Caenorhabditis elegans: one gene and its partners. The protein of the gene in region 2 interacts with the protein of the main gene of each other region in a pairwise test. Each region holds a gene or a part of one and is shown on either strand. Other genes may lie near its edges.

Region 1 (6,114 bases), on a different chromosome or scaffold from region 2:
CTTTGCGATGGCATCCATTTGTGTTAACAGGAATACACGATTCCAAGAGTTTTCAATATCTTCCCATAACCAAATATGTCTTCCAACATCATCGCCAATCACTGCTCTCACTATTTCCACCTCTTCCATATTTTTATTTAGTCGAGCCAATGTCTGTAAAGGATCTTCCAGTCGCTCAGCACGAAGTTCGTCGAGATGACAAGCGTGATCTCTAAGAAATTGTTTCACCCAATCACAGAGTACAGTAATCAGTGTCGGAAGCATCAGTTGACTGTGTTCTTCACATCTCTCCACAAATTCACATATTTCGTTAAGCTTCCGATGAGTTCGAGTGAGGTGGTCGGCCAGTGTTCGTAGCTAAAATAACTTAAATAATTGATAGAAGAAATATTAAAAATTTACATAAGATTTTTGAATATTCGCATACGGAGATTCCATTGGAAAATAATAATCCGAGTTCACTTCAAGACCACCAGACGTCAATCTGTATAGAGGCATCGACACACGATCAGTGCATATTCTTCGTTGAGTATTTTTCTGAATTATAACGTTTATTTTTGATAAAAATTATTTTAGTTTTTGAACTAACTTTAACAGGTAAATCAATAAAGTCGATGAGATGAACAGCGAGCCGTTGTTGAGTGAGCAAATAACTGTCTGTTCTCAAAATAAAATGATTAATATTCGTTTTTGAAAATCCGAATTTCTTACCCATTTCTTTGATGTTCCATACTCTTTCTGTACTCTTGACATCGTTTTACATTGCTATCATGAAACTTTTTTATTTGATGATTCTTACGAGATGAGTTGAACTTCTAAAAAAAAACAGTTTATAAAAAGTTTTCGTTCATCTTCAATTACCTGTAGAACAGCTGGAAACGGATCTCTAGGTGTCGTGAGACATACTGCAGAATCAGCACGTGAGATGTCTCCGCTTCCTCCTTCGTCACGATCTTCTAGACAAGAATTGTAGAACATTGTCTGAAATTTGTTCTAACTATTTCTATATTTGGTTCCCTACAGTACCTCCTGCGTGCATTGATCGAATTCCACAGAAATTCCAACATCGTCGTCTTCATTCATACCTGAATTATATTTTCCTATTTTCAAATACCACAACACATAAATAGAAATTCTGATGAATATAAATACAGATAATTGAATATCTTCTCAAAAATCAAACGACAAAAATTTATTCGAATTATTATTCGTCTCATAGAAGTATCATAATCAAAACACTAAAACTACTGAAATTGTCTAGAAATAACGAGAAAACAGCTCATCAAAATATCTACATTGAACCGATTACCAATCGTTCGAATTAAAAGCTATAGGACTGAGTGAATAAGGGGAAAAGCACCAAAATTAGTTAAATTCAGACTAGTCATTTTCATGGCGTTGGCGGAGAGTCCGATCGGAGATAAGAAGATGCAAATTGTTCGAGATTTCGGAGAAGAAACACTGCTTTTCCTCTGAAAATTAATTTTATTAATTCTTGACACAGATCTAAGAGGACATACTTGATTGTTCCCAATGTTCGAATTGTTGAATCAACTGCATCAATTTGTGTCTTCTGTACATCCAAATCGTTTTTCATTTCTCTATGGACTCCACCAACAGTTGCTTTCAATCCGTCAAAGACTTGGTCCATTTCTCTGAAAACAACAAATTGAATTGAAAACTATACGGTTTAAAAAATACCTGATAGCTTGTGTTTCACAGTGATGAGTATGAGCTGTTGAAACTTGTTGCATTCGAGCAGCTAAATGTGATCTGAACTGTTCTTTCAAATGTTGTTCCTTGGCTCCCGAATTCCAGCGCATTCGTTCCCATGCATATAGTCCAGCGTAGGCCGCTCCTCCGACAGCAATTACTCTCCAACCAACAGCCTTATACACAATACCACCAACAACTAGCACTCCAAGACTTCCGTTTGCTAAAAATGCGGCTGATGTCAAAACCATTTGAGTCATCATTGCCTGTTCTTCGGAAGCTGCAGAAGCTTCTGCATCTCTCACTGAATTCTTTTCGGATTGTTGTTTTAGTGATAATGGAGTAAGCAAATTGGTGTTGATTGCAGTGACAGGTTGGCCGCTTCGATACGCAATGATGCGACGAATTATTGCGTGTAGACCAAATGTGAATCGGAACTCGAGGTCTTCATGGAAATCACTGAAAAATGTAAGAATGAAACACAAAAAATCCATCGAAACTCACTTGACAAGAGCAGGGACATCGACACAAATGCTAAATTTGAAAGGAGCACGATATCGCCACACTTCTTCAAGCTTATTCTGATAAGGTTCGGCGAGGATTTTTGTCACATATTCTGGAAAAAAAATTTTTTATAACACATCAGTTCCCAGATAAACACTTACGGAACATATCATTCTCCAAATTCCAAATTCTTGACATTAGGCCACCGGTACATCTAGCTTCCAAATCACTGCTCAAACATTTGTCCACAAAGATTGCCAAATCCTCTTTATACTTTGTCATTCCGGAAGAGCTTCCATCGAAAGGTTGTTCAAATCGATCAATTATTGCATCAAGTCGTGCTATTTCTTCAAAGAAATCAGCAGAAACTTTCAGATGAACTTCGGCTCGCAGTTGCTCTGTCTGCTCACGGTAAGCTTTTTCAAATTGAGTGAAGTTTACACGGCATTCATTGAAAGTCCTGGTGGATTCGTTTAGATTATTCTGAAGCTTGCTTCTCTGCTCAGCTGCAGAGGTTAGCACGCTATTCAGATTGAGCCGCATTTTTCCGATCATTTCATGAGCTCTCCTGTTATGAGCTTCGAATTTCGTGTGAATCGCCGATCGAGAGATACAATGCTCAAAATGTCGTTCGAAATTTTGGAATTCCAAGGCTCTTGTGCCATGACCTTCTGCTTGATAGGCTTTTTGTACCAGTCCCCTAGCTTTTAATCGTGATTCCAAAACTTCTCTCGATGAAACAAAGAAGATTCGATCATTGACTTCTCTTTCTGAGCACACTTCAAGCTCATCGACCAAAAACTGACGGAATCTCGTCAAATGCTGCTTTTTTACATCTTCGATGTTTTCTGTTTCTGCTGCACTGGCGTCCCATCGATTATTGAGAATAAATACGTTGGGCTTGCTAAGCTTCTTCGCGACTCGAAGGAAGAAGTTCTTTTCGGCTTGTGTCAATGTTGATTCCGCATTTGATACAAGCACAAATACATCTGCATCTAAACAATGTTTGTCAATCCAGCTATCGAATTCTGGAGAAAGATCGACACCAGGGCTATCAAGTATGACGACGTCGTTTTGAAGAAGTCGGCATTCCCCTGATTCCGATTTCTTTGGATGAAACACTTTCAAAAGAGAATCCTGTCCCATTGCCGGAAGATCTGAATTTTCGTCACTCAGTGCGTGTCCAATTTTTCCAAGCATTTTCATATCAATCTTTTGGGGATTATCATCTAATTGTAGATGGCCAACTTCGCCTTCTGAACCTTCAACCTGGAAATTTCAAAAATTTACAATAAAATATGAAAAAAAAGTGATTCTCACCTGCAGAAAGCAACATGTTGTATGTCCCATTCCCTGGGGCAACACTTTCTCATGAAGCATCGCATTGATAGTTGTACTCTTTCCGTTGCTGGTTCTTCCGAAAAATACAACCTTCATGTTATCTCTTTGAAATGTGTCCATTATAGTTTTGATTGAATCGCCAATTGCTTCGATTTCTTCCCGCTGTTCAGAACTAACAAAGTCGTTCTCTTTAATATCTGGAACTTTTGTGGGTTTATATTTGCGGCGAAGTAAAAAACAGAAAATACCTTTGTAAACACCTTCTAGTTCAGCCACATTGTCTTTCAGTTCTCCATAGACATCCCCAAGAACCTTTTTAGCTTCTCGAAATCGAAGAAGTGGTTCATTATCGGCAGCACGACGCGAATTTTTCACTGAAAAGTTTATTGCATTGTTTTTTGAAAGGTTGAATAAACATACAGCTGTGAAGTCCACGATGATTAGAATCACCACTGGCCGGCAGAGTATGAACTAAGCTTGCTGTGCCAGACATTACCTGAAAACTTAAATATATTTAAAGTCTCATAAATCAGCCGGAAATTCGATTCGAGGATTACGAAATCGCTTAAAAGTCTAGAAAACATTAAATCTTATTTGAAATATCGAAAAGGTTATACAAACATCAAATTATTCATTGGAATAATAAAAAAAAATGAAAAGGAACACTCGAATTATCAGAGAATTTCCATTTCTGTCTCCGTCGCGAGCAAAAAAAGAATGTTCACTGGAGCGCGCTCTCTGTACACAAAAGAATCGATTATCGGGAGACAACGATTTGTGAGAAAAATTAGTTGTCTATCGAACTATTTTTGATTAAGAAAAGTTACTGTGCTTTAAATTGCCGTTTTAAACATTAAAAGATATAAATAAACTTTATGAAAGCAGTTTGTAGAAAATTTGTGAATAATGCTTGCTGCAAATTTTTTAATCAGCAAGCCCCCGTTCTTGAAATTCTGCAGTGTCTCTTCTTAAACTTCTGATTGCTTTTTGGATTTATATATTTAGAAAGCAAAAACAATCGAAACATTTCTATTGATTTAGCGGTATTCTATTAAGTTTGAAGTAAAAAAAAACATAAAAAACATTTATTCACTAAATAATTCACTAAAGTACACCGTACATGCAATGAGACCGGATGCAGGAATGCAGAAAAATCATAATTATAAATAGGAAACAATATTCAGGAACAATCCATATTGTCGTTGAAGGTACATTCGTCATCCGAAAGGCTTAACGGAATTTTTGGGCGATTACTATTTGGCTTGGTCGTCTTGACTACGTTTCCATTTTGAGATGATTGATATGTTGATGAGGGATATGTCTTTCTTGGTTTAAATGATTCCGAGTTTGAGGAAGACGGTTGAAGAGTGATCTCGTCTGCTAGTGGGATCGATGGTCGAGATTTTCTGGGAGCCTGAAAACATATTTTAATTTACAAAATAATAATTTTTTGTTACCTCTACTTTGTTTTCTTTAACAAAACCAGCATTGCGACCAGCATCTTTTTTGGCTAAGTCGTTGATCCAACTTTCCAATTCGCGATGTTTCTTTACACTTTTAACAGCTTCGTTCCTTTTGTATTTTATGTCGTTGCTAGTGTATTTGTTAGAATGAGAATTAGCATGATGTTCTTTCCTAGTAGTTTGTCTTCTATCAGAATTCGAAGACTTCCTTGAACTATTTAGTTGATCCGAATCCGTTTGTTGTTTCTTCCGACCATGAATGGTGTCCATGAATGATTTAACTGTCTCAACGTGCAGATCATGAGTCAGTGCTTTGTTTGAAAGATTCACATCCTCGGTGACGAGTATAATAGCACGATCATTGAGGTTCATTGTAGATGGAATTGACATTACTGAAAATTGTGGTATATTCTCGAATCTTAATTTAAGAAAAAAACTTACTTTCTCTTTTTATTCGCAATGCAGTTCTTAGAATCAAATCATCTACAACAGTTGTGTTTGCACTGAAGCCGTTTATCTGAATCTGTTGCTCTGTGCTCGTCTCGACATGCAAGTACTGATTCTTCTCTTCCAGAAGATCTTTTATACTATTATTTGCACAATTAGCTACAATTCGAGTGTGTCCTGATCCGTTTTTAAGACCATCTAGCTCAGATAATGTAAAATATGGAATGACTGTGAGAATTTGTTCTGAAAATAATAGAAATTTCAATAATAATATCATTCTCTATATTTTACTTTCGATGGAAGCATTGAGAACATCAGGATTTCCCAGAAGAGCACAGGTATCGAATATGGCACACGCACGATAATGCAAATCTTTGAATGGTCGAACTTCAGAAGACCATGGAACACGTGGTAGCATTTTATTGGAATGAGATTCTACCTGCAACTGATTTTTATTTTAAAAGAGCTTAATAATTATATCAACACTAACGCCACTGCAGCTGGGAATGTCTTCTTTTTTCGTTATTCTCTCCGAACTGTCCGATCTTCTTGGCCTCTTCCATGAAAACTCTTCATCATCCAACTTCTCCATAGACTTCCGCTTTGGCGGGGGTACCACATCGACTTCCTAAATTTTAATGAATAA
Region 2 (5,452 bases):
AACAACAGAAGTTTCAAACTACAGCACTCTTTAAAGGCGCACATCTTTTTGAATTTAACAAAAATGTTTCGTGTCGAGACCAGGTATCGTATTTTAAGCTCAAAAATCGCAAAATTTCGTGTAAAGAACGTTTGGGGATGAATATGAAAATTTCAAATACAAATTATTGAGAAATCTCGTGTAAAGCTGTGCAATTCGGCTTTCTTTTGAAAACAGGTGGAAAACTTCAATTTTTAGGCCTTTTTAGTCCTTTTTAAGCCGTTTCAAGCTAAACAAGACTGAAAACTCACGAGTATCTTTCTCCCAAAGGGTAACCTCCGCCTGAATTCTCTTCTTATTACAAATAGTTGTACCCTTGACAGTGATAGTCTGCTTCTTTGCCTCAACAAAAGCCAAAGCCAAAAGAACAACAGAGGTGAATAGTAAAGCACGCATTGTTGTTTTTTGAATCGTGCACTAACGTTTTTTGTTTTATATACCGACAAAATTCAAGGGAATCAAAATGGGCGGAGCCTATCTGATGGTGAAACAGCGATAAGGCGGGGGGATCGTTTACACTAAACAAAAACATTTTTGTTTCGAAAAATTCAAGGCCATCGAATTGACCGTCGTCTCGAGACAGAAGAGGCGAGAAAGATGAATCATTATATTAAAAAATGATATTTTCCTACTAAACTTTTTTGGATGACGTGATGGCGAAAATGAAAACCGGATTCTCTTGCGCACGCCTATTATCAAAATTGCAGTTTCGTTCCGAAAAAAGGGTTGAATAAAAGAACCGTTTTTTTTGTTGTTGTAGAGAGAAAACAATTTGAAAAAAATAAATACAAAGTCGCGTACGCGTACAGGAATTTGGGGGGAGTTGGAAGAGGCCACACGAAAAGAGACAGTTAAAGTGAAGATGAATTATTGAGATACAGGGGTACTTTGGAAATGTGGAAGAGAAGCGGGAGGCTAGGCCACGGCGAGAAAAGTTAGGGTTTCAGGGTTTTTGACGAAATGTACAGAACACGGAAAAGTTGATATTACGCGGAAGTAGGGTTTGGCCAAAAAAAAAGGCAATCGGAAAAAATTGCAGTAAAATCGTAAATCGACACAGAGAGCCGTAATTTGTGGCCTAGCTTTCCCACTTCTTCCAGTTCAAAGGATGAGAGAATCAGTGAGCAAAAATGAGATTCAAATGTAAGGAGTTGTACATAAATTAATTATTTACACAAATTGAATACGTTACTTCAAGCTGAACATCATCCGCCCACACACGACGACTCCAACGATTCCAATGGCTCCAGCTGTTACTCCAGCGCCAATCATCGACCACCGTCTGTTCTGCTTCCGGCGTCCCACTTTTTCAGCTTCTGCTCGTTCGTAGTCCTCTTTCATTTGTTTTCCGAGTGTCATGAAGTCGTCCTGCAATTTTTTTCTTGATTTTTTATTTTCACAAATAATGCTTTAGAGCATATTCCGGGGAACACAAAAATCCGTGAATGCGTATTTCACAACATATTTGAGGCGGAAATATCTCGTAGCGAAAACTACAGTAATTCTTTAAATGCCTACTGTAGTCGATTTACGGGCTCGATTTTTGAAATTAATTTCTTTTGATTAGTGGTTATTTTCTTTAATTGTAAAAATTTTAAAAATTTAAAGAATTACTGTAGTTTTCTCTACTGGATATTTTGCGCGTCAAATATGTTGTGAAATACGCATTCTGCGAATTTTGTATTCCCGTAACAATAACATTATCATAAACAGTAATATACTTGAATATGTTTCCAGCTGTCCCCCCAAGAGGCTACCGAACCCTGTAATTATCGGCTTACCAACACCCCGGGAAGTCAAGGGTACTAGGGAAAGGGGGATATTGACTTCTAATGTCTATGCAAATACTCCTTACCCAGCTCCGATTGTGTTCCTTCCAGTTGTTGCGGATCCGCGTTTTGATGAACAGCGATGTGTAAACGAAGAGGTTTCGCACTTGTCCCTGCAGTTCCACGGATTCCATCATTTTTGCAGCTACGAAACCGCCGAACGAGATTAGACCTATCTGAAAATTAGAAATTTGCAATTTAATTCGTTCATTTCTGGCGGAAAATTAAGCTTAAAAAAACGATTTTTCTGGTTTTTAATGTTCGAAAATTGAATTTTTGGGGTTTTTCGTTCAGCAAATCAGCAGAAAAACCTGTTTTTCGAAGAAAAAAGTTCAAAAATCGAATTTTAATGTATTTTCCACAAATTTTACATTTAAAAACCGATTTTTGATAAATCAGCAGATCTTTTTCGCAAATACAAATCAAGGAAAATATGCTTTAAAAATATTCGAATAGAAAATAACGTTTTTAATCGAATTCGTAAAGTTTTCTGCTAATTTATCAACAAAAAAAATTACAATCCGGGATCAAAATTCGTGGTTTTTTAATGGAAAACTTTCAAAAAAGACACATAATTGGGCTATTTTTGACCAAGTTTTGCTGATTTCCTGAAGGAAAACAAACAATTTTTGCAAATGTTTTTTCTGCCACCTTTCTGGCGAATTTTCGAATTTTTGCAAACTTTTTTTCAGTATTTTCTCCCTTACCAAACGTCCATAAGACATTGGACATTGATCTGTCTGTGCATTTCCAACCGTCCGAACCACATCCTGATACAGTGAAAATGAGATTCTGGGCACTGCGAGCAGCTGCTCACAGAAGGTCTCAAAATTTTCCGCGTGCTTCTTCTCGAATATCGTTCCCATAACTCGCATCATTTCGTGCTCCGGTTGCACTCCACACGGCAATCCCGGTGCTCCAAACCATTCCATTCCGTTTTGCCGGATTCGGTGCGTGAAATAGTCGACCTGGAAGCAGCAGGAAATTTTATTTACAAAAAAAAATTAAAAAATTACCACAAATCCCTCGATATCAAGCCTTGGCTCTTCCCAATCATTGATTTTTCCATCAATTGACTCTCCGATGGACATTCTTCGCGTCGAAGCCTGCCTACTCGGTGATGGCAAGTCCTGAGCATCACTATTGATTCCAAAATCGGTGGGCTCTGTGCCTTTTATCCCCAGAAACTCCTTCATCTCGCCAGTCGCCATCGTTCGTCGCCGATACGCCGGATTCGTCAGCGAGTTGTCCGCCGTGCAGCGTGTCATCTAAAATTTTTATTCGTTTTCATAATCATAATATACATTCTAGACAGAGAAAAAAAAACGAAGAGGAGAGGTAAATCTACGGAAAAGAGAGAAAATCGAAGAAATCAACGGTAAAAGTAAATTGACGAGAATTGTCGAGGGCTGGGGCGGAGTAAGAAAAAAGAAGGCGGAGCATCTGTGCCTAGGCAGTCTTGTTGCTCTTGTTCTGGCAAGAGTTGAAGACAATGGCGAGAGCAAGAATAGCCGAAAGTCCAGATACGAGATATCCCGATTTGTAGATCTGAAAATTAATTTTTATTTTAAAACAATTAAATTAATAATTTCAACTCCTACCTGTCCAACATTATTGACTCCCTTAGCCAAATCGAATCCTAAGAAGCGAATTCCGTTAAGAGTATGGAAAATGATGGGGAAAGCAATGATGTACTTGAAGACAGCGGTCACCGCGCATGGTAAGTTCCAGCTACGGATGAAATCCACAAAAGCGGTGAAATCGAACGGCAAAACTGCGAATCCGATTCCTCCGACGAGAAGGGTTCCGGCCATTACACAACCGCTGATTCTATGGAATCCGGAGAGCATCCAGGTCAATTGTGGCTGGTAGACGGTGAGATGTGGAGCGATTGGGCGATTCTTGGAGCGCTGCTTCAACAGGTATTCCCATCCGAACTTCTGGATTGGCGTCTTTGCCTCGGACTGTGAATATTATAAATAATTAATTGAAAAGAATGTGTCTGTTATACATTTCTCCTTCATGCGTACACAAAAAATCAACAATTTTCACGGAAAAATTCAAAAAATCCCCACCTTGGTGACGATCGATGTTCCAAAGGAGCGGGAAATCGACGATCTGGCGCCCAAGCGGCACAGAATCGCAGTTGGAATGTTAATCATCCTGAAACAATGCTGATTTTCTTATCAAAATTGAAAAAAGAAACAGGGCGGTGCGTTTCAAAACAAGTGTTGAATTTTGTTGCGGAAATGCACGCACAGGGCACGAGAAGTGCGCCAGCAGCGCGTCTCGTTTGAAGAGATGCGTCAGCAAACGACCCGGGCGCACTTTTCGACTTGTTTTTTGTTCTTTTTTTGTTTTTTTTGTTGCATTTTCTGTGATTTTCTTTGAATAATTATTTTTTCCATTGCAAATTTCAAGATGAAATCTAAAATTCCTCGAATTTCTGATCCATCGACTCCATGGCTAGAGATTTTAGTAAAATTCGGCTTCAAAAATGAGCCTTTTATCCTTGGCGAGTGGAGCACTTCTGGCTGGACAGCCGTTAAAGATTGGGTGCTTCCAAATGGACAGCCAAATAAGGAATATTTGAAAAAGTCCTATGGTTTGTCTGGATAGTTTTTTGTTATGAAAATCCCGTTTCGCTCCAGGAGATTCGAAAGTTCCTATTCTTTGCGGAGGAAATCAGTACAAAACCACTACTTTGAAGGAATTTCTGGAAGAAATGGGCGATCCAGAAGTTTACTTAAAGGATTGGCATTTTCAAAACGAGTAGGAGTTGAATTTCAATTCGAAATTGATTTTTTTAAATTAAAATATTTAGATTCGGAACCTCTTCATACTCCTTGCATCCTTTCTTTTCTCGAGATTTTGTAAATTGTGAGCCATGGACTAGTGAGAAATCGGAAAATCCATTTGGTGACGACTATCGATTCGTTTATATCGGAGCTTCTGGATCCTGGTAGCCTTGGAATTTTCTTAAAAATTAGAAATCCCCTCAAACTTTCTAGGACAAAACTTCATTCCGACGTAGTTTCATCGCATAGCTGGTCAGCGAATATTTGCGGCAGAAAACAGTGGTTTATGATGCCCCCAGGCAGTGAAAATCTGTTTCGGAGCAGCGTTACAGAGTCGGGGTTTGTGGATGACATTCGGGAGTATGAACGGCTATTCGAGCAGGCAAAAGTGATAAAATTCGTTCAAGAGCCCGGAGAAATTGTGTTTGTCCCATCTAATTGGTACCATCAGGCCCACAATTTGGTATATCAACTATTTATCTCTCAGTTTAGAAGGACATCATTTAATTCCAGGAAGACACAATTTCCATCAATCATAACTGGATGAACAGCACGAATCTTCATCTAGTACAGGAGTTTTTGAGCCGGAGGGAGCTAGATGTTCGTGAGGAGCTCCAGGATTGTGTAGATCTGTTTTCCGCCGAGGAATTTGAAGAAAAAGTGGATCTTGTGTTGTTCGCCGACGCTAGACTTAATAATTCAAAGTTTCGAAAGCTGTGTGAGCTTGTAAAAGAATCTAGAAGTCATGAAGTTGGGGAATTATTTGAATGTGAAGCCCATGGTTCA
Region 3 (5,255 bases), on a different chromosome or scaffold from region 2:
TGCCTGATTCTCGCAAAAAAATTTCTTGTGTATCTTGAGAAGAATAATTAAGAAGTGAAGCCAGTTTTTTTTGGTTTGGCCATTCTAACTTTCTTGTCGATTTCGAATATTTTTTCAGCTTTTTCAAAAAAAAACCCACCTCAGTCTCAAAATTTTCGCAATAAGAAGTACTATTTGAAAAACTAATAAAGGTGGTATGCATTATCGTTTGTTTTTTGTCTATCCGCAAAAGCTCAATTCCAATCCTCAGAACAAAGTTTGTTTATCATTCATAAAACAAACATCAATCAAACACCTCCTTATCTATTTTTCTACCCATAGAACCATTTTTATGTCAAACTGTCTGCATCTTCTGTACCACGCATAATCTTATTTCAGTTCAATCAATCTACACCTGTGTTTCTTGAAAAACATGTTGGTCTACGTGCAACAAGTACGATCCACATGTGAACATCATATGATTGCATCACATTCGCCTGTTCAACCCTGTTATATTGGCGGATAGAGTAGATAGTAGATAATTGCGACCCAAATCTTCTTTAGTAATTTGCTATTCGTTTTATTTGTCTTAATTGTTGTGACCGGTGTCACTTGCAAGTTCGACTTTCGAAAAGTGGTGAGGTGTATCATGTGAACTTTTTGATTTTTCATGATGGGTGCCCGCCTGTCAACTCGGTTTTCGATTCAATCACATTTCCGTGCAAAATTCTGGCCAACATGACATTTAAGAAGTTCACAATCTGATCAGATTCTTATTTAATTAGTAAGACAAGTTTGTGGAAAGAAGTTTCTTAAGTTATTTCATATTAGTTTGTATGCATCAGTTTTGTTCTTCTACCTAGTTTTTCAATAATTATTTTCTCATCTACATTTTCCATTTCTTTTTTAGAAACAATATCTGGTTTGTTGGCAATACGGTCACATGTACTTCGGAAAAGCGAAAATGCGAGCGAAAAGTGAGACAGAGAGCGTCTGTGTTTGTTGGTGTATCACGCGACATAATAATATGCCTGGCTGGGTGCCAATTCTACCATTTTCCTCGAATTTCTGATTTCCTGAAATTCGCCGCAAGTTTATTGGCTTTTACTAGGATTGAGAACCTTCATTTCCCCCTTTTTTCAGTTGGTTCAAACTTTTCAGAATCTGATTTCGGAATAGTACATATTTTCCACGACTCTTTTATCTCAAAAATCAGCCACCTGACATCAATAACGTTGATTTTTTTCTTAAATATATTTCATAAATTTGCCCTGTTTCTTTTACTCTTCTCATTTCTCCACAGTAATGTTATTTTAATTGCCTTTCTTAATTTCAAATTTTTATGTCGCATCACGTGTTGCGAAAAACACCCGTCTCAAAACCACAGTTGATCACGCTGAAAGCAAGTTTGTGAGTAAAAGTAGTGAAAATGAGTAAAAAACACGCGTGAGCAGGCATCTCGTTTTCTGACTATCTAATTAGCTACACTCTTTTCCATTTAGTTCTAAAATTAGAAGAGAGAACCAATTTTTGTGAATTTCTTGAGAAAAAAAGATGGGTTGCAATATTTTTTAAAAAACATTCTCATAAATTCTTTAAAGAGAGCTATGAACCTATGCTTTATTTGAAAAATACTCAAGGGTTATCAAATAATAAAAGCCGAATACGACAAATGTTTATTAGTTCCAATCCATCAAATAAACCTTTTCCTATTTGGCAGTTGAATATATATTTGCTCACAAATATAATACATTTCTGGCTTTTGCTCTTTTTAATTCACAACTATTCTGTTCTCATATTAAATCGATTCAATCCGGTCATCTCATCTTTCTTGTCGTCCACCCACCACGAAAAACAAAACAATCGCGTCTCAAACATTCGCAGTACACCACACAGAGCGTCTCAGATAGCACAAATGTAAATAAGCAAATAAATAAATAACTGACTGGCTGACGGAATGAGGTTTCAAAATAAAGTAAAATTTAACGACTTTGTGAAAAGCAAAATATTTTCATTCGTCTCTCCAGTTTTTTTTCCGGGTATTTGCTCTGTAGAAAAGGTATTATGAAATTTTTTGTCTAACGGACCTCCTTCACTTTTGCCCCCAATTCTGTTTTATTGGAGAAAACGTTTATAAATAAACTACGCCATCTGCTTGTGTAGACTCTGAATTTGTTTGTTGATTTTGTAGAGTAGATATGAAGGACCTAGCAACACCTGCATCGTTGGGTTGCTATAACAACTCGTATTTATTGTTAACCCGTAACTACTTCGCTATTTCTTAATTTACAATTTTACAAGTTTCGATTTCTTCTCATATTTGTAAACACAATTGGTAATAATAGTATAATAGTAATGTTTCAGAGACGGGTCTTTCCTAACAATGTCCTCATTTCTTGAGTTTGCAAAACCCAAAATGCTCGATATCAAAAGAAAGATCAACTTTGCGTCCGGCGAGAAGACGGATGAGTCTGTGCAACCGCAACAGCAGACGGAGCAGTCATCGGCTCAACAGACAACACCATCCGCAAAAGCCGTCTCAAACCCATTTATCACCCCATTGACCGAGAGTACACCTGGTTTGTTTTACTTTTTTTTCATTACACTTTTGCCCTAGGCAAATCGTTAGATGAATTCTCATGTGACCGATTGGGCTTTTGATTTTTTGAAAGTACACACATCTTTGCAAGTTTACAAATTTAACACCTATTCACTTTTCACTAACTCCAACTTAAATTTCCCATGTTCTTGAACGCTTCAGGTATGTCAGAATCGTGGGTGGAACTGGCACCAAGCCGTACCAGTTTGTGCAGTAGCGTCGATATTAATATGGTGATCATTGATGAAAAAGATAAGGATTCGAGGCTGAGCCCAGTCTCAATCGCACAATCTCCTCACGTGGAATTCGAGAGCTTAGAACAAGTAAAGTACAAGTTGGTTAGAGAAATGCTTCCTCCCGGAAAGAATACTGATTGGATTTGGGATTGGAGCAGTCGGCCAGAAAATACACCTCCAAAGTAAGTTTTATAGCTACTAATGGGTTGAAAGAAGCTTAGTTATTTAGACTTCAAAATTAATTTAGAACCAGGGATGCGCTGCATTTGCTAACCAGCAGTTCTACAAAATAAGCCAGCATGGCATGTTCTCAAAATAATTCTAAAAAACGCAGATACATTGTTGAAAGATTAAAACTGCTAGAGAAAAGTTACATAGTTTGTCGGACTATTTTCAGTAATTTTCAACTTTCAATCTAAACTAAAATATGTTTGCTAATTGAAAATTTTCTAAAAGAGATTTTTTGAAAATACTTTTATATTCCATACCTAAATGTTACTGAAAATATTGGAAGAACATGTTGCAAGGTTCAATTTGTAGAATTGCTAGTCGACACCCCTGCTCAAACCATACCGATTTTATTCTGTGTTGAAAAAAAAAACAAAATTTGCAGGACTGTCCGTATGGTTCAATATGGCTCCAACCTTACCACTCCGCCAAACTCTCCCGAGCCAGAGCTCTACCAATACTTGCCATGCGAATCTGATTCGCTTTTCAACGTTCGCGTAGTCTTTGGTTTCTTAGTCACCAACATCTTCAGCTTTGTCGTTGGAGCAGCAGTAGGGTAAGTATTTTTTTCAGGAAATTTCTTCCAGAAAAACTGATTGTCTTCAGATTTGCTGTTTGCCGGAAACTAATCAAACATCATCGTCAATAATTCCAAACAAAAATTTTAACGTTCCACTTACCTCATTTCACTGTACATACATTCCAGCAGTGCTGGAGATTGGGCATTTTTACCCTTTGATTCACAATACTACATTCTCTGCAAAATTCTTCCGGAGTCTTCTTGCATCTTGTCAAAAAGATTCGAATAAACAATAATTTTGCCATGTTTCCCTTCTCTCCAAATTGTCATCTTTCAAACTGTCTCCTGAATATTCCTAATACTCAAAACATTCCTACTACAGTTTTGAATTCAACACATCTAATCGCGATTTGCTCTCACGATTAGGTAATTTTAAATTAATTATGTACATAATATAGCTTTATACACTGAATGTAATTACGACTTTTTCTTTGCTGTTACCTGGGCATTTTGATTCTGAAACTTGCTTTTCCATGTTTTTCTGTCATCACAAATTGTAAATATTTCTAAAATACTGTTACAAAACCACGCATTTTAATAAAATGTAAATATATTTTTGTTTAGTTATGATTAAATTTATTATGCTGGAATTTTTAAAAACTGATAAGTAGACAATTGCACAGATGTTATTAATTGCACAATTCAAGAAATGTCTACAACGAATCATTCTAAATACCAATTTGCACGGAAATAAATTAAGCTGAAATCTATGTTTAGTTAACTAAAAGCTCATAAATCGCTTATAATCCTTTGTTGAAGTACACTCGATCTCCCTTGATATTTTTCAGTTTTTCAAAGGCTTCGGGCTCCCATCTTTTCAATGTTGAAAGCTTCACAGAGTTTTGCTGAGGGAAGAGAGCGCATCCGACAGGAATCATTGCACCATAACTAAAATTCACATTTGTTGTCTAGAAATATGACTGCTCTCTCACATCACAAAAGTTAAAGCCAATTGAGTTGGAATGTTGAGTTTGTTGATATGCTTCCGGAATGAGGCCACTTTGTTCAAGCCTTCCATGATGACAGGAGTGAGGACTAAAATGAGGCATGAAGCATGACAGGAAAAGAGTAACGGCTAAACTCACTCATGCATGGGGCAACGATAATATTTCTGGAGAGAACCACCAGGGAGATGGCTTTAGCTGCGGCTAACCGGGAAACTCCAACGTTGTTTCCATCGGCATCAGTGACAGTCATACCTTCTTTGAGTTCACTTTAAAAAAATGATTTAAAGAACTTTTTGAAGAGTCAACATTTCCACTATTTAAATTCAACTCATAAAATTATACCCATATGCCAACAATAACGTGAAAAACCTCAATTTATAGGTCAACACATTTCCGAATTTTTTTTACGGTTTCTAGTTGAATACAAAAGTAGATGGTCTTCAGTTTACAAAATAAAAATACCATAATGGTTCAGCTGCAACATCATAGACAGCCTTATTTTAGAAAATCCAGTTTTTCATTGACCTCTCTTCATTATTAATAACTTATTGCATATAAGAAAAAAGTCAAAAGCGGAATGATTTTAGGAGTTTTACGTTTTGATTTTAATTTTGAATGGGTTTCAAAATAAATCACTGATAAGAAAGCAAACTTTAAATTTCTGTACTCCTAAATTTCAAAGCTTT
Region 4 (5,649 bases), on a different chromosome or scaffold from region 2:
CTACTGATGCCCGTCGTCACAAATGGCGAGTACAGTATGCAATCGGAGCAGGAGATTCTCAATGCGTTGCTCAAAAATTATGACATGCGGGTACGGCCACCACCGGCCAACTCATCAACGGAAGGTGCTGTCAATGTTCGTGTTAATATTATGATTCGGATGCTATCGAAAATTGATGTAGTTAATATGGTAAGTTGGATTCGGAATAAAAATGTTAATTTAAATAAAAATAACATTAAAAAATTTCCTAAAAAATCACAGTACCAAAAAAATACCAAAAAAAATTATTTCTCACAGGTGTTTATAATTTTTTTTGGCAGTTCAATTTCCATTTTAAAAAAGCACCAAAATTTGAAATTTGTTCTGGAGCAGAAAAAATTGCTAATATCAATAATAATCATAGGAGACAAAAAATCGAATTCCAGTTCATACAAAAATCCTTTCTTCACTCCTAAGTTTCAGGAATATTCAATTCAACTAACATTCCGCGAGCAATGGATAGATCCTCGACTGGCCTATGAAAATTTGGGTTTCTACAATCCTCCGGCATTTCTCACAGTCCCACATGTTAAAAAGAGTCTATGGATTCCTGACACATTCTTTCCCGTTAGTTTGATATTCACTTTAAAGTTAAAATTGGAATTTTCAGACCGAAAAAGCAGCTCATAGACATTTGATTGATATGGAAAACATGTTCTTGAGGATATATCCGGATGGAAAAGTGAGTTTTTGAAAACTTTAAGTTGAAGAAATTTTATCTGGAAATGAAGGAAATGTTGAAAAATGCCTATTGTTTTTGTAGCATAGAAAACTGCCAGTATTCCCAATTTTGGAAGAAGTTTCTTGATCAAATGACATGTCTAATGAAACGCACATCTGGACAAGATTTTGAAAATTAAACGGAAAAATTCCGCATTCAAAAAATCAAAGTAAAAAAATTTTAGAGCCAAAATCTGCGGTGGATTTTTATCTTGATAGATCTGACTTCCAAAATTTTATAAAACAGGTTCTAATTTACTAATTTTTCCTTAATTTTCAGATCCTCTACAGTTCCCGGATAAGTTTGACAAGTTCCTGCCCAATGCGTCTCCAACTCTACCCACTCGACTATCAATCGTGTAACTTTGATCTTGTCAGCTACGCGCACACAATGAATGATATCATGTACGAGTGGGATCCATCAACACCAGTTCAACTGAAACCCGGCGTTGGCTCGGATCTTCCCAATTTTATACTCAAAAACTACACAACAAATGCAGATTGCACAAGCCACACGAACACAGGTAGACAAATTTTTTGCAACTTCTTGAGGCGATTGGGGGAGAGAAGAGATATGAGCTTTTGTCAACAGATTTTGCACTTTTTGAGAGGATTTTATAGCTGTTGTGACGTGGGAAAATGAAGGGAAAAAAGTTGAACAAATGATTTCACGGAAAGAAGTGTATTTTGGGGGTTTGAGCAGAAAAGCCCGTTGGGAAGTTTGGCAAATTTTGTTGCAAATAAATTGGGAAAACATTAATAATCAGAAATCAAGTTCCGATAGAAAATAGGGGGTTTAAAAAATTGTTGCTAAATTTAGTTGTGGGGTTTTCCAAAAAGATGAGAAGAACCTATATAAAGAACTAAATCCAGATTTCTTACAGGATCATATGGATGTCTCCGAATGCAACTTTTGTTCAAACGGCAATTCAGTTATTACTTGGTACAACTGTATGCTCCAACCACTATGATTGTGATTGTCTCATGGGTTTCATTTTGGATTGATCTTCATTCAACTGCTGGACGTGTCGCTTTAGGAGTCACTACGCTTCTTACAATGACTACAATGGTAAGGGACTGAAAAATAATTTGTGCACTTCAACAAAGAACTTTCAGCAATCTGCAATCAACGCCAAGCTTCCACCAGTTAGCTACGTAAAAGTTGTGGATGTCTGGCTTGGAGGTGAGTAACTCCTTTAATATATCTAACAATCAAAGAAACTTCCAGCGTGCCAAACATTTGTATTCGGAGCACTTCTGGAATACGCATTTGTCAGTTATCAAGATAGTGTCCGGCAAAATGACAGGTCAAGAGAGAAAGCTGCAAGGAAGGCGCAGAGAAGGAGAGAAAAGTTGGAAATGGTGGATGCAGAAGTCTATCAGCCACCGTGCACCTGTCATACTGTAGGTTAAGCCTTGAATTTTAACAATCATCAAAAAGTTTTGGTCCTGGAATTCGCCAATGTTATTGAAAAATTCAACAAAAAAACTTTTTGTATAAATTCACTGGGTGACAAATAAAAAGATTCAACTTTTTGAAACGATCTCAAATATTGAAAGAATTCAAAATGCAAACAGCTTCCAAAAAGCTTCCAGCATGATACCACTAAAAACACAAAACGTCGACTTTTTTCCATTTAAAAGTTATTGTATGTAGCTATTTTTTTAAGTGTAGTAACCTATGTAAAAGTCGCTATTCCGGAATAATCTTGCAAAAAATACTCATAAATATGTTAGAAAAATATGCGAAAAAAAGTCAATTTTTCAGTTCGAAGCCCGCGAGACATTCCGTGACAAAGTCCGCCGTTACTTCACAAAACCAGATTATCTACCGGCAAAAATTGATTTCTATGCCAGATTTGTCGTCCCACTTGCCTTTCTCGCTTTCAATGTTATCTACTGGGTATCATGTCTTATCATGTCTGCCAATGCTTCCACTCCAGAGTCTCTCGTTTAGATTTTCCCCTGTTTTTTTTTCAAATCCCCACTGTTCCCACATTTGCTATCAATTTGCAAACATCATACTTGATACCGGTATATGTAAATGAAATTTGAAATTTAAAATTTAAATAAAAAATAAAAAATAAAACTCACTTGCAAACAGTCGATATACAATCCCTACACCACCATAATTCAACAATATGGTCCGAAGAATTTGACGAAGAAGGCTTGGAAATTGATGACTGATTTAAATCGATTTGTTTGCCACAATCGTCACAATCTACTATCATCTTTGCATATCTGGAAGACAAGATTTGATTAAAGTGTGAATGAGAAAACATATAAAAAATTGGAAAAAAGTGCGTAAATAGTATGAGTTGAATGAATCGAAGAAGTATGAAAGGTAAACATAAAATCGAGTATTGTCAACATTTTAAAATTTTTGACCCGTTTTAAATGTCAAAACTGTAAAATTTACAAATATAAGAAAATTTAAAATAAAGTTTCAGACTTTTTGAAATTTATTAAGTTTGGCAATTTTTCGGGAGAACCGAGAGAATCATAAAATGAAAAATTGAAAGACCTAACTTTTTGGATCTTAAAAAAAAATGGTTCTACAGTTGTAAATCTCTGTGGAAATTAAAAAAAAAGTTTACACCCCCCTATAGAAAAAAAGTTAACTAATATTTTTGAAAAATCTAATAATTGCCAATGTTTAGTAATGAAGTGCCAGTTTAAAAATACGGTAGGTACAAATTAGTAAATCTCTCGGACAATCGCCACATGTTTCAAATTTAAACATTTTAAGGAATGCTGAGCTTTCCTGCAAGTCTAAACGCCTTGAATATAAAAACAAATTTCGGATAGGAAACTTTCCATTAAAGAATGCTTACATAGAATAATACACAGGTTAGAAGAACCTAATGAATATTTTGAGTAACTTCTAACTTGTAGTTTAAAAATCCCTAATTGAGAAATTTTTCTGATAAGATAATCTAATTAGGAGAAACTAACTATTACTTCAGTTGGTTCAGAAACTTAAGTTTCGCAACCTCCAAAGTAAAATTCCAAAAATCAAAGAAAGTGATAAACAACATAATATATGGATTTCGTAATGGTATTTGCAAATATTACAACTTTTTTTAGAGAATCTTTAAAGAGAATCTCCTGGAGTGACGCAATTTTTTTGTTTGAAAACTCAGTAATTTTCGGAAACTTGAAAAGTATCTTTAACATTAAAATTTTCTATTGTAGGAAAGCTGGTCTCGCCACGATAAGTCTAATTTATTTTGGCTAAAGTTATTGTCTGTAAATATTAAAAGACCTTCTAAAAACTGGGTTTTAACAAAGTTGAAAAAGTTTCCAATGGATAAACCTGTAACATTGTTTTTGAAAATGTGAAGGGAAAACTTTTTCCGTCAATTTTCAGCTATGAAACATTGGAAAAGAAATAAAATTCCAGAAAAAAAACAAAGAAAACGACACCAAAATAAAATAGAAACACACAAAAAACAGTGGTGAGTGACACAAAAATGGGGGAGAAAGAGAAAAAATAGGAAAAAAGAAAGGAAAATTGGTGGCGGTGGCGGAGGAACTGGTTACAAAAACCGAAACAAATTATTCAAATACAACGATGATCATCATCGTTAAATGGAAATAAAACAGATAAAAATTGGAAAATTGCGTTGTAATCCAGCATTAGCCGAAAATATTTTACGGGTGATAAGAGAGATTTTCGAGAGGGAGGGAGAGGAAATAAAGGAGGGCCGTAATTTTTTGAGAATTTTAAAGTTGGTATTCAATGTTTTCATTAATGCAAAATAGGAAGAATCGTAAATTACAAGAAATATCCATGCAAATTTTTCTGCAAAAGCTGACACTAATCTCCCATCACTTTCAAAAATTCCTACAACAATTTTTTAACACCAAAAACGCGAAATAGGAAGAAAAAAAATGGGGGAAGCTTTCAATAGAATCAACTTTTTCAATTTCAAATATTGGCGAGAGCAGTGTCGAAAAAAAAGAGTAGAGAAAAGTGGTTTAGAACATTCAAAGACACTCCTCCCATCCTGTTACACTTTCTTTTTTGAATTGAATAAGAAAATAACGGAGAAGAAAATAAATAAAATATGTGTATATACATAGAAAGAACTATTAGGTAACAACCGAAAGGAGGGATGAACTATATTAGAAGGTATGTGGAAGTGATCCGATGAAGAGATAATGAAGTGGTATGAGGTCATTAGGTAACTGAATTAATATAATTGACAGTTCATTTACAGGATTTCCTTTAATTGAAAATTTGCCAAAAGCTATATGCCTGCCTGCCTCCTGCCTTTTTTCTGTATTTTGGCATATAATTTTTGGGTGTTGCAGATTTAAACATTTCATATTTTTTCAGAGAAAACTTTGAAAATAAATTTAGCATTCATTCATTTTCAAGAACCGTTAAATTGCATTCATTGGGAAATAATTATTTTTTGAAACAAACTTTTTGAAAAATTGTTATATTAAATTTTTTTGAAGTGATCCGGTTATTGAAACGGATAATTAAAAAAAAAGATAATTATTGGAAAATTTTTTATTCCTTTGAAATCAAAACTTTTAAGTACATATGTTCAAACATTTTGAAACGTTTTTTTTTGGATTTTTTTTCGAAATAAAGTTTAAAATTATTTTGATACAAAATTTCACAAATTTCCACCTCCAGAAATTGCAGCAGATTAATTTATAAATATTCAAGTTAAAACGTTTTCCAGGTGAAAATAAAATTCGTTAAGAAATTTCATTAAAACGTGCAATGAGTAAGTAAGGTTTATTTTTGTGCTGACATAAATTTGAAATGAAATTCTAAATCCATCTCATGGAAGTAATAGGGGATTCTGTGTAGGCAACAAATTCGCCTACCTCGTGCCTTCAGGCATCACCATCAAGGTACACGAAAACGTT

Evidence for each region.
Region 1: the proteins of ced-9 (region 2) and fzo-1 interact in a two-hybrid assay, tested with the Caenorhabditis elegans proteins (one study listed by BioGRID).
Region 3: the proteins of ced-9 (region 2) and dct-1 interact in a two-hybrid assay, tested with the Caenorhabditis elegans proteins (one study listed by BioGRID).
Region 4: the proteins of ced-9 (region 2) and F25F8.1 interact in a two-hybrid assay, tested with the Caenorhabditis elegans proteins (one study listed by BioGRID).

The regions. Positions count from the first base shown.
Region 1 is NC_003280.10:5,832,150-5,838,263, forward strand, and holds fzo-1 (Transmembrane GTPase fzo-1), read right to left. Parts: upstream 4,055-6,114; 5' UTR 4,052-4,054; coding exon 3,979-4,051; intron 3,933-3,978; coding exon 3,807-3,932; intron 3,756-3,806; coding exon 3,538-3,755; intron 3,487-3,537; coding exon 2,379-3,486; intron 2,330-2,378; coding exon 2,218-2,329; intron 2,173-2,217; coding exon 1,702-2,172; intron 1,656-1,701; coding exon 1,521-1,655; intron 1,473-1,520; coding exon 1,391-1,472; 3' UTR 1,179-1,390; downstream 1-1,178. Other genes in the region: gtap-1 (Dynein heavy chain 7, axonemal), read right to left, coding at 1-357, 403-537, 590-662, 712-815, 862-981, 1,027-1,083; ZK1248.15 (WW domain-containing protein), read right to left, coding at 4,739-4,972, 5,016-5,413, 5,463-5,711, 5,760-5,907, 5,959-6,096. UniProt on the Caenorhabditis elegans protein: Probable transmembrane GTPase. Mediates mitochondrial fusion. Fusion of mitochondria occurs in many cell types and constitutes an important step in mitochondria morphology, which is balanced between fusion and fission.
Region 2 is NC_003281.10:10,332,856-10,338,307, reverse strand, and holds ced-9 (Apoptosis regulator ced-9), read right to left. Parts: upstream 3,137-5,452; coding exon 2,885-3,136; intron 2,837-2,884; coding exon 2,576-2,836; intron 2,045-2,575; coding exon 1,895-2,044; intron 1,408-1,894; coding exon 1,228-1,407; 3' UTR 786-1,227; downstream 1-785. Other genes in the region: ttr-15 (Transthyretin-like protein 15), read right to left, coding at 291-435; mev-1 (Succinate dehydrogenase cytochrome b560 subunit, mitochondrial), read right to left, coding at 3,318-3,416, 3,470-3,832, 3,944-4,030; jmjd-4 (Jumonji domain-containing protein 4), read left to right, coding at 4,290-4,473, 4,520-4,640, 4,693-4,830, 4,880-5,129, 5,180-5,452. UniProt on the Caenorhabditis elegans protein: Plays a major role in programmed cell death (PCD, apoptosis). egl-1 binds to and directly inhibits the activity of ced-9, releasing the cell death activator ced-4 from a ced-9/ced-4 containing protein complex and allowing ced-4 to activate the cell-killing caspase ced-3.
Region 3 is NC_003284.9:7,952,013-7,957,267, forward strand, and holds dct-1 (NIP3 homolog), read left to right. Parts: upstream 1-2,343; 5' UTR 2,344-2,362; coding exon 2,363-2,558; intron 2,559-2,740; coding exon 2,741-2,996; intron 2,997-3,427; coding exon 3,428-3,598; intron 3,599-3,648; coding exon 3,649-3,691; 3' UTR 3,692-4,174; downstream 4,175-5,255. Other genes in the region: sfxn-2 (Sidoreflexin), read right to left, coding at 4,363-4,510, 4,555-4,657, 4,708-4,835. UniProt on the Caenorhabditis elegans protein: Initiates apoptosis in a BH3-independent mechanism possibly by recruiting ced-3 to mitochondria and other cytoplasmic membranes. Has a role in lifespan and tumor growth. Required for the induction of mitophagy under stress conditions.
Region 4 is NC_003279.8:4,882,254-4,887,902, reverse strand, and holds the start of F25F8.1 (B box-type domain-containing protein), read right to left. Parts: upstream 3,001-5,649; 5' UTR 2,991-3,000; coding exon 2,854-2,990; exon of another isoform or gene 2,717-2,853; coding exon of another isoform or gene 2,528-2,716; intron 2,164-2,527; coding exon of another isoform or gene 1,988-2,163; intron 1,943-1,987; coding exon of another isoform or gene 1,876-1,942; intron 1,829-1,875; coding exon of another isoform or gene 1,644-1,828; intron 1,284-1,643; coding exon of another isoform or gene 1,040-1,283; intron 722-1,039; coding exon of another isoform or gene 650-721; intron 607-649; coding exon of another isoform or gene 463-606; intron 190-462; coding exon of another isoform or gene 1-189. Other genes in the region: glc-2 (Glutamate-gated chloride channel subunit beta), read left to right, coding at 1-189, 463-606, 650-721, 1,040-1,283, 1,644-1,828, 1,876-1,942, 1,988-2,163, 2,528-2,716.